Linked DNA regions of Nothobranchius furzeri. The protein of the gene in region 1 interacts with the protein of each later gene in a pairwise test. Links are inferred from orthologs where the notes say so. Each region holds a gene or a part of one and is shown on either strand. Other genes may lie near its edges.

The links.
Region 2: the proteins of gnb5a (region 1) and gng3 interact in a two-hybrid assay, tested with the Homo sapiens proteins (2 studies listed by BioGRID, with this or other methods). The link is inferred for Nothobranchius furzeri from reciprocal best matches to the Homo sapiens genes GNB5 and GNG3.

What each region holds. Positions count from the first base shown.
Region 1 is NC_091744.1:64,507,956-64,513,212, reverse strand, and holds the end of gnb5a (guanine nucleotide-binding protein subunit beta-5a), read right to left. Parts: intron 4,549-5,257; coding exon 4,405-4,548; intron 4,322-4,404; coding exon 4,230-4,321; intron 4,145-4,229; coding exon 4,096-4,144; intron 4,026-4,095; coding exon 3,929-4,025; intron 3,249-3,928; coding exon 3,082-3,248; intron 2,999-3,081; coding exon 2,987-2,998; 3' UTR 1,991-2,986; downstream 1-1,990. UniProt on the Homo sapiens protein: Enhances GTPase-activating protein (GAP) activity of regulator of G protein signaling (RGS) proteins, such as RGS7 and RGS9, hence involved in the termination of the signaling initiated by the G protein coupled receptors (GPCRs) by accelerating the GTP hydrolysis on the G-alpha subunits, thereby promoting their inactivation.
Region 2 is NC_091750.1:53,594,021-53,600,295, forward strand, and holds the start of gng3 (guanine nucleotide-binding protein G(I)/G(S)/G(O) subunit gamma-3), read left to right. Parts: upstream 1-2,130; 5' UTR 2,131-2,308; intron 2,309-2,947; 5' UTR 2,948-2,948; coding exon 2,949-3,047; intron 3,048-4,075; coding exon 4,076-4,204; 3' UTR 4,205-6,275. UniProt on the Homo sapiens protein: Guanine nucleotide-binding proteins (G proteins) are involved as a modulator or transducer in various transmembrane signaling systems.

The sequences.
Region 1 (5,257 bases):
CCCGCGATTTGAGCCTCATCCGCGGCGTGTGCAGCAGCAATAGGTCAGCCGACCTCAACGAGCGGGTGGGCACATATGGAGTGAGAAGGGCAGAGAGGTAGGAAGGTGCCAGGTCACTGAGCGCTTTAAAAACAAAAGTCAGTAACTTAAACTGCACTCTGAAAATGACAGGGAGCCAGTGAAGATGTGCCAGGACAGGTGTAATGTGGCTACGTCGGTGTGTACCCGTCAAGAACCTGGCAGCAGCATTCTGAACAACCTGCAGCCGATTCAGGGCAGAGTCCGGAACACCAACGAGGAGGGCGTTTGCATAGTCCAGGCGAGAGGTAATGAATGCATGAATGACTGACTCCAAATGCCTCCGTTTCAGGATTCGTCTGAGGTGAGTAAGGCGGCGAAGCTGATAAAAACACGACCTCACTACAGAGTTTATCTGTGGGGCCATTGTGAGTCCAGCATCCAGCTTGACCCCGAGACTCGTCACACACTGTTTGGGGTTAAGGGTTAAAAGGTCACAAACAGGGTGAGAGCTATGGTGGTTGCGGGGGTCAAAAACAATAAACTCAGACTTCTTTTCATTCAGTTTTAAGAAGTTGGATGCCAGCCAGCCCTTCACGTCATCCATACATGCAGCCAATTTCGAGCCCGCATTTTTCTCGTCCATTTCCACGTATAGCTGACAGTCATCTGCGTAGATGTGGTAGCTCAGGCCATGCTGATTCAGGATATTGCCCAGAGGCAGAAGGTAGATTGAAAACAGCAATGGCCCAAGAACGGAACCTTGCGGCACCCCCCAAGGCAGTGGAAGACTGGAGGATGCACAGTCACCAATCTGTACAGAGATGGTACGGTTTGATAGGTAGGAGCGGAACCATTTAAGCGCCACCCCCGTCACCCCAACCCAAGACCCATGTCTCTCTCACGCCACACCCCCAATTTCTTACACTAAAAAGGTTAGTCTGTTTGAGCTACACATTCCTCTGGCTACTGCGCTACAAGTTCAGTTTTATCCATATATGGTTTAAATCATCGACATATATGTGACATATAAATTGACTTTATATGAGCGAGAAGAGGGAATTGACGCCCTCCAGCGGCGAAAAGCTAGAACAAATCTGGTTGTTAAAAAACCAATTGGAGAACATTTTACTTCTCTTATCGCAATGAAGCTGGAAAATATAATGCATTTTTGTCTCTTGTTATATATATATTTAATATATTAAGGAGAAGAAGGGGGAAACAAAGAAGATTAAGAACTTCACTCACAAAGTTACAATAGTTAATAAAAGCAATTCATTTAAAGGATTTCAAAATAAAATAAATACTGCAGCGATTTGGCGTTTGCGACAGAACCTCGCTCCAACAGGCTTTTCTCTTTTAATTTAGCTAAAAAAAATCGTATTATACTTACGTAACAATTTTTAAACCAATGGTTTTGTGCAGTGACGAAACGGCCATCAGGGTCACCGGGACACGAATGTTTCCCGTATTAGGTCAACTAGATGCGAATACGATAATTCAACCTGATTTTCGAGATTGAGAATTTTACTGCTCTCTGCTGGACGAACTTTGTTTCTACAAGAAGTTCATAACTATAACCCAGTGCATTAGTCATTAGCACTTCCTGGAGATTCCTTCAAAAGAAAACATACTTCTTAAAACTAAAACAGAGTTCAAATTAGTGTTAGCAGCACTAAAACTCAATCAATCTATTTTAATTACCTGCGTTCAACATAATCAAATTACTGAGCTAAAGCAGGAGCAATTAGCAGCTAGCTACAGACTAATGTATCATTTGCTTTTATTGAAAATTACATATTTGTGGATTGTTGATCTGTGATTTCATTTTTAAAAGACTGCCGCAACTAAAGCGCCCCCCACCCCACCTACACACACAAAATTTAAATAAATAAAATCTCACTCCAAGACTTTTTCCCTGATAATAAAAAAATCTCTGTAATATAAAGATAAAGAATGACAGACACAAGAGCAATATTCAAAATTCTGTTTATTATGTTTGTAATATTCTGAATAACAGTCCCTTGGATATCTGTACACTAAACTACAGTAAAATAATTACAGTGAATGTGAACTTTACAGCCATCAAAGCTGCACAGGAGGGACTACATTTTCCTAATCTCCCTAAATGTAAAACCACAAGAGGGGAACCACAAAAATAAATAAATGCATAAATAATGTGGTCAGTTGTTACTGAATTCGTAGACTTTTTGGTTTCTTATACAGCAGAAAAGTAAACAGGAAGTGAACAATTTGTATAACTAAAGATAGAAATCAACATGAATGTAAAACTTTTTATCTACCTTCTTAGTATAAGTATGACAGGTGAACCATCATTGATAATAGTGACATTTTTGTCTGTTTCTTTGAATAATAGTTCAAATTAGCAGATTTTTTTTTGTATTTAAGGCCAGAGATTTCTCTAGTCCACAGCTCAACTGGTTTAAAACTGAAATATATAATTTTCTGTGCCTTTTTTAAAACTTCATGGTGTTGACTTCACACAGAAGGGGCTATCCTATCCTCCCTCTAGGTCCAATCAGTGATATAATCAGACTTATTTAGTCTTCCTTCTCTAAATGCTTTTGCTCTTTTTATTACCTTGTGTAAATTAAATAAATAGCTAATTTCCTTTCAAGTGGACAAATGTAATAATAACTTTACTGAATCACTTCTAGCCTAGACCAATGCAAGTTACTACTATTTATATTTTCTTCATTTTTTTAAAATAAAAGTTGCACCTATATTTCTGTGCTATTTTCTTTCAGTTTTAATGAAATGTAAGCGTGCCATTTGGTTTAATTACTCTTTGACATGTAAATCTATCCTTGTCCAGGAGACTGGAGTATGTACAAAGCTATTGAAATGCTCTATCTACATCCAAGAAGTGTTTCCATCTCTGTGATTGTTTTCTAGCAAACAGAAACATCAGTGTGTCTTCAGCATCTAGGTCACTGTGGCTCGACGCTCAAGCCCAGATCTGAAAAAGGAAAAAGCAGCAATCACTGCAGAAGTCACTGAAACTTGAAAAGTTATCTCAGAGGTTACAAAAAAGTCTCATACCCGAAGAGTGTGATCCCAGGATCCTGTGCAGAAGGCCGTACCATCGGGAGAGACACGCAGCGTGCTGACACGGTTCTCATGTCCAAACAGAATAGAGACCCGTGTTCCTTTGAGAACATCCCAGACGTTTATAGTGTAGTCGTTGTACCCACCAAACAGTAGCCGTCCTGTTAAAATGAAAATACACACAAATCTTTTCAGCGATCTTTAAAAAGTAATAATTGTAAGCAAAGAAAGAGCCAAGATCCTCAATATTTAAACGTGTGGTTCCCTGAAAATTTTTTTTTTATTATTTCTGATTATAAAATCGGTCACTCCGAGTTTTCATGCAGGCTGAACATGAAAACTGTCTTCACACCTACCTCCTGCATCAGCTTCTGATAGAAAATACAGCGAAATGCTAGGATCTGAAAATCCTCACATATCTATGTCACACTGGATTTGTACTCATGGCCTCGCCCATCTTGGCTCGCGCCCACTCACAGGAGGGCTTTCGTTTGTTTTGTTGTTGTTTTTTTCCAACAAGGAGAGAGAGCGGAGAGTGTCCTGGTGATGGTGACTTTTCAACACGGCTGAACACGTTCTGTGAGCCAGTCAGAACTGAGGTGTGGGCATATCATTAATAATAATGAGCAATCCAGCTGTTTTCAGCCCACCTCTGCACCAGTAAACTTCTGCATCTCAGAACAGAAGCAGCATAGCTTTTTTTAAATTTAAATGACTCATAAGGCATTGATTTATAATAGAGAACACTGCAAATGTATTGAATAAACAAGTACACCACACCTTTAAATAATATTGAGGATCATATATTCAAAAGTAGTATTGAAGGGAAATAATATCATACCACTGAGTGAGAAATCAACACTGGAGACCCCAAATATGATGCTATCTTTGGAATAAATAGCCACTTCTCTATCTGCCCTCAAGTCATAAAGCCGACACTGAAACAAAAACAACCGATTTCAGTTTACTTGAAAATGTCCCTTTGAGGTGTTTAACAGTTTAACTTACTGTGGCATCATCTGATCCAGATGCAAAAGCATCTCCACTTGGGTAGTATCTATTAGAAAAAAATTGGGCTACATTATAAAACAAAGTCAGTCAGAATAGCAATCACGTTTTTTCTGATCAGGACCGTGACTCACCGCACGCTGTTTATGTCTGATTCATGAGTTTCAAAGGACTGAATGCATTGTCCTGAACGCATGTCCCACACGTTAGCCTTCTTATCGCAGCCCTGCAGAAACAGGAAAGATTAATGCGACTCCGGCAATGAAAATCGTCCAACATTTAAATAAGCAGCACAGAGAGCATGCTCACCCCTGAAACAAAAGTGTTTCCTGTCTCAGACGGAGCCAGGTCCAGACACAGTACGTCTGCTGCATGTCCATGGAAACTCTGCAGCAGCTGCCCACTCTCAACATCCCATAATGCACATGTTCCATCACCACTGGATGTCAGGATCTTTAATACAATCAGACAAAGAGAGGAAAGGTATATGCTTACTTAAGATGATGGTGCTACGAGAGTAATGGGGTGCTGATTGTCAAAGTCCATCCATCCATCCATTTTCATCCGCTTATCCGGAGTCGGGTCGCGGGGGCAGTAGCCTAAGTCGAGAGACCCAGACTTCCCTCTCCCCAGCCACTTGGGCCAGCTCCTCCGGGGGAATCCCAAGGCGTTCCCTGAGACTAATAGTCCCTCCACCGTGTCCTGGGTCTACCTTTAGGTCTCCTCCCGGTTGGACGTGCCCGGAAGACCTCACCAGGAAGGCTTCCAGGAGGCATCCTGACCAGATGCCCGAGCCACCTCAACTGGCTCCTCTCAATATGGAGGAGCAGCGGGTCTACTCCAAGCCCCTCCCGAATGACCAAGCTTCTCACCCTATCTCTAAGGGAGAGCCCAGCCACTCGTTCTCTCGGTCACTACCCAAAGCTCATGACCATAGGTGAGGGTAGGAATGTAGATCGACTGGTAAATCGAGAGCTTCGCCTTCTGGCTCAGCTCTCTCTTCACCATGACAGACCGGGACAACGCCCGCATCACTGCAGATGTAGCACAAATCCACCCATCGATCTCACGCTCCAGTTTTCCCTCACTAGTGAACAAGACCCTGAGATACTTAAACTCCTCCACTTGGGGCAGGACCTCATTCCTGACCCAGAGAAGGCAT
Region 2 (6,275 bases), on another chromosome or scaffold:
AGTTTCCATAGGACCACACAGTGGTTCTCTTGGTAACAAGATCAGACATTCGCGAGACAAAGTGGACGCTGTCACTGTCCTGGTGTGGTGTGTCATTTGACAGTTATGTTAACATTTAGCATGAGTTAGCCTAGTTCCAACACTCATGGGTTTAAGATGTTTTACCCTGAGGGTATCTATTAATAATTACATAAATAATGCAAAAGCATCAACACTAGAGCTAATCCAGTGACACAAATGACTGAAATGGCTGTGCATGGATTCACATAACATTAATAATAATATTGATGGAATAATGTATTGAGCAGTTTTCAAGAATTTTATTTTCATTTATTAAATGTTCTGTGGTGATATCCCATTAAGTGTACCGTGCTGTTATTGCTGATGTTTCAGGCTAGAATGTTGGGTCCATGAAGAACAGAAAAGAAATCAAGCAGGTTGTCTCCAGACTTCTGAAGGTCCCAAAGTGACATGGAGCTAATTAACTTACACTTAATTAATGCTTATTAAGTAAAATGTATGGGAAAAGCTAATTAATTTGGATATTTATACTACATCACACACATCTGACTTATATTCCGATGGTCTTCTATGAAGATACTATATAATAAAATAATAATAATGTAGCTGAGCATTCAGACTGTTTTGTAATAAATAATTTTTTTAAAGAAAGCTATGCTTAATAGAGAAAATTATGGGTTTTTCCTTGACAAAAATTATTATTATTGTTATTGTTGTTGTTGTTGTTGTATTCTGTTGCAACAACAACAACAAAATGTCAGTAAAAATGGGGAAATGCTATTTTTTTCTCGCAAGCACAGAAGGGAAGATGTATATTTTATGGAGACACTTTCCCATTATCTAGACTTACTATGCGACGCTAATTTAAAGACTGTAGAAATTTAAAAGTGGTATGTTTTATTTTGAAAGGATTTACAGGAAATGGTAATCAGATATGTCTTGTTTGTGAACACTGTAGTAACGGGTTATGTCCGCCAGAGGGCGAAAACATATTTACGCTCAAAAAAACAGATATTGAGTTGTTTCCTTCACGTTGACTTAAATGATACATAAAAATCCCATAGAGACATAGTTTGTTGCCACCATTAAGTTAAATGAATGATTTCAAGTAAATATAATAAAGGTTTATTTAGAAAAATAGTATTTAAAAAAACTGAGTTTTTATTGTTGTTTTTTTTATCCTAGTTTATAAATTTATTGTTAGATCAAAAATAACCTTTTTAAAAACATTTCTATGTCCCCCGCTGGTCTCCCGTGTTTTTAAATCCAAAATTTGACAGGTCTCCTCTCCTCCTCCGTCTTGTAACAAGAAGTTCAAGCTTGTCGCCACTGGAGGGCACCAAATCCCCCTTCTCACTCATGTAAAGTTGATTTAAAACTGGGTTTGTAGCGCTGTAGATATGCGTGTTTACAGTGGCACGATGCAGAGTAGCTCAGATAGTTTCACTTTTTTCAGCTTGAGAAATTGGAGGTGCGATTTTAGAGCGTGTGAGACAGTTTAATGCGTGTGTCTCACGCTCATTTGCGTGAGAGTTGGCAGCCCTCTGCTGCTACTGTTAGCGACGTGTCTCGGTGGACATCTTTCCTCCACAGTTGGTCTGAAAGCGTCGTGAAACTCACAAAACGCACTCGTGCTACCATTTATTATCCATTCATTGCACTAATATTCACACTGGCTCAAGCATTTTATTTAAGTAGTAGTCACTCATCTAAATACATGAATAAACCTGTGAAATTTAAATGTGATGTACACTAGAGTAGTAGACTGCAGCAGTCCCCATGGCAACGGAGGAGAGGGAGCGAGGGCATCACAGAGCATCACATCATAGCCAATGGGGCTCGTTCTTGAGATTTGTGTGTGAATCTGTTCATTGCTGAGAATTAAAACCACGCAACAGCATTGAACATTTTGATTCAAGACCGAAATTAAAACGATAGAAATTCAATTTGGCAGCAATTTCTCCAGCAGAGATATGGTACAATCCACCCACATAAAACAACCATCTCTAATGTCATCCCTGCCCCTCCCTCCCTCCGTCTGGCAGGCACCACTCACCGTTGAGGGGGGATTCCATCCATCCACCACAAATCTGGTGCTCATTGTGGCAGAATTGCAGTTCACTGGACTGTACAGAGCAGGGTACCATCCAGGCTGTTCTCTGTGAGGGGTGGGGTCCGGCTACACTGACACCACCTAACAGAGGCTCACAGAGAGAAGGGGAAAAGGACAGGAACCAGAGCGAGAGAAGAAGGGGGACGACAGCACCTGAAGAGGAATATAATACGGGTAAGGAGGGAAGGGGGATGGAGGGAGAGGGAAGGAGACAATGAGGAAATGTCCAGAATGGGTGAAACAGATTTGCTCCTGTGCCTCTTCGCTTTATTCCATCCCTGTTGACAATCCATCTGACTCAATCCCCTTTTTATTTTGTCTTTGGTATTTTTTTATTCCATCGTTCACATTAGGTCATCCCTCACCCATCTAAATGGTTTCTACTTTTACATCTGATTGTTCTGTGGATGTGCTAGCTGATCATGGGGGGAATCAGTGGGCCATGTTGGAGAAAATAACCATTTGGCCTAGTTTATGTTTCTTTTAGCTTTTCAAAAAACATACAGCCTTTTGTTCCATTTGAAGATGACAGAATCCTGTTGTGCCGATTCAATGACACATGTTCATCTTTATTCCCAGAAACTGCATGCATCTATACCTCACAACCAGCTGTTTAAATCTCAATCATCTAAACATTTTTAGGATTAACTCTTATTGAGTAACACAAACCAGCAGTTAAGTATTTTACATTGTTAGCTGAGCAAACGACTACTTTGCCAAATGCACCAAATCAACCTTTTGATGTGCAACAGAGCAAAAGGGACCTACTCAACTGCAATGTTTAACCATAAATGTTGATGCTCCTGTGGCTAGGATGAAAGGAGACACCCCAGTCAACAGCACCATGAGCGTGGGCCAAGCCAGGAAGCTGGTGGAACAACTAAAGATCGAGGCTAGTTTCTGCAGGATAAAGGTACGTCCAGTTTCAGACAACAGGACAGGGAAATGTCTGGTGGATTATTCTCATCTTTTCAAACTTGGGCCACTGGCAGGTCTTCCTTCTCTTTGATGCTCCTGATGTTGTCAAAGACACCTTGCTGAAAGTTTCATCTCTTTATCGCAACAAATTAGAAGTATGAGGGGAAATGTAGAAATTAGCTGAGTTTTCACTTCAAAACAACACGTTTCATCTCTTAATCATATTCGCTCTCAATTTATCAATCGTTCCTACCCTCACCTATGGTCCCGAGCTTTGTGTAGTGACCAAAGAACAAGATCACAGATTCAAGCGACCAAAATGAATTTTCTCTACAGGGTGTCTGGGCTCTTCCTTAGAGATAATGAGACGTTTGTTTATCTGGGAGGGGCTCGGAGTAGACCCGCTGCTCGGAGTAGACCCGCTGCTCCTCCACATCGAGAGGAGCCAGTTGAGGTGGCTCAGGCATCTGGTTAGGATGCCTCCTGGACGCCTCCCTGGTGAGGTTTTCCGGGCACATCCAACCAAGAGGAGACCTAAAGGAAGACCCAGGACATGCTGGCAGGACTATGTCTCTCAGCTGGCCAGGAAACACCTTGGTATTCCCCCAGAGGAGCTTGCCCAGGTGGCAGGGAATTCTGGGCCTCTCTGCTTAGACTACTGCCCCCACGACCCAACCCCAGATAAGAGGATGATATTAGATGGATGGATTTATTTTTATTCACATTCCTCCGAGCCATTCTGACATACAAATGATGACTATGCTGTTTGGCTGTTATAAATAATGTATAAACTTATCAGCATGGTTTGAGCTACATGAGCTAAATATGTAGTATTGGGGGCTCCTATGGGCTTCTAGGTATTTTCATGACTAACATGGATTGAACTCAGACAGAAATAAATGGATATTTTCTCAAGTAACCTGAAATCAAAAGAAGCAGTGATATAAATGAAAGAATCTCTGGATGTAAAACATCACAGTGAAACATTCTGAAAAACTCTAAATCAGATTGTTTTTCCTCCAGGTATCAAAGGCTGCAGCCGACCTGATGGCGTACTGCGACGCACACGCCTGCGACGACCCCCTGATCACCCCGGTGCCCACCTCAGAAAACCCCTTCAGGGAGAAGAAATTCTTCTGCGCTCTGCTTTGAGACAAATCAGGGATTGATGTGATTCAAAGTACAACTGTACAGTATGTACATGTTTGTACAGTGTGTACATGTACTTCCAACCTAAGTAAGACATTAATGTACCATAGTAACCTCCCATCAGAGCTGCCACTGTACAGTACATAATCAACTACATGTTAAATCCTAAAAGTGATTAGAGGGCGGGACAATTTGAGACTAAACTCAAGATTTGAACAGTCAAGTTTCAAAGTAAAGGCTAAAAACATAAAAAGCCATCATGTTCCATGCTTGAATGCTTCAAGTAACTGCTAAATATACGCTGATTAAATTCAATTTTATGTGGAAATCCTTAGGTTCCGGGATAAATGTTAAAGCAGCAATCCGTAGTGTTCAGGCATTACGTAGTTTTTTAGAAATCTGTAAAAGTGATACGTCTTCTTTTGCTAAGCCTACTTCCCTTCCCATAGAGCTTCATGCAATTTGAATTGAGACCACTCAGCATTAGCCAATAGCGTTAAGCTTAATTTATACTCCTCCGTCGGTACAGAGACACGTAACGCCATTGTCCGTCATCACAAGGGCTAGCCAACGAGCAAACAAGGACGGATGGAGTAGAGCCCACTTTTCTAACTATCCATCAAAAACAGTGAAGATCGCAAGCCTATGAGTGGTCAGAATGCCGCTTACGTCCTTCGTCAACAGCACCACTTCTGACTGAAGGAGTACAAAGAAACGCTGCAAACTTTATTTGTGTAGGGAAATTACAAGAAAAGTGAGTTTAGAGGTGGTGACTGGATGAAGAAGTGGAGGGCAAATATGTTAAAAAGTTTCTGAAATATATAAACACACTAGAGACACGACTATATTGATGGCAGGATACCCCAGATATGTGCTACGCCCTCTGTAGTCCTGGCGGAGTATTGCTTTACAACACTGACACCAACGGAGAAGTATTAAAGGAAACGTCTTTATCACTATGTGTCTGTTGCTGCTGCCTCTTGGCCAGATCGTCATTGTAAACGAGGATTTCTCAATCGACTCATCTGGATAAATAAAGGTTGAGTAAATATGTGGGCGTGTAAACACAGACTTACTGATGGAGATGTAAAAAATTAGTCTTTGGACTTCTGCGTATGTATAGATGTCAATCACAGAGCGTGTGCGCGTGTTTGTGGACGCATCTAGACTGATGCAGAGTATGCAACATTTCTTATGGACACTTAAGTCTCTATAAATGCATATAAGCATCAGTTTGCCTGGCTAGAGGTACAAGTTCATAAATGAGAGGCATTGCTTCCTGCTATAATCACGGAAGGGGAGGGGCTTTAAGGTGCAATACATGTTTCCACCTGTAGATGGTGCCATTTACAAAACAAACTCCAGATTTCTGCTTTAAGTCAGGGCCCCAGATTTCAAACTCCTTGTAGATGGAAAATATTACCCAACAGACATTCATTGTCATTTTTAGAGTGGGGTCTAACCTTTTATTTTTTAAAACCAATTCCTATTTTCTTGGTGATTTTAGCAGTTACTTGTATCAAACCACAACAGCTGGTAATAACCTACAGATGAAAGATATTTCTTTAAAAGATTTTCTCAAGATTTGAGCATTTTTGCCAATCCGGTTACTGTCGTTTGGAAGTGGACGTGTGTGTGTGTGTGTGTATGCATAGGTGCTACTGTGAAACTTAAAAGCAACAATTCTGAGCATTTTATCCCTGTAAATTTAACATTTCCTTTAAACACATTATTCAATGACACAAAGAGCCCCAAAGCAACACTTTTCAGGGGGTACAGACATTAAAGCTAGTTTATTCCACGCAGCCATCAGGTTCTTATTGGTGTATTGAGTGAACTCTTCGATTCTTTAGGGGGCAGAATAGAAACAACAGTTTCAATGTGCTTTTATAAGCAGATACGCCATTTTCAATTCAATAATACTTTATTAATCCCAGAGGGAAAATTAGACGCTGTTTAACTGTTAAGATCTGTCAGGTTTTCAGAGAAATCAAATTTCATGGTCATTATTTTGTTTGCGTGTAATCTAAATGATTGTTCTGTCAAATTTTACATCCCAATTCCATCACCAGGA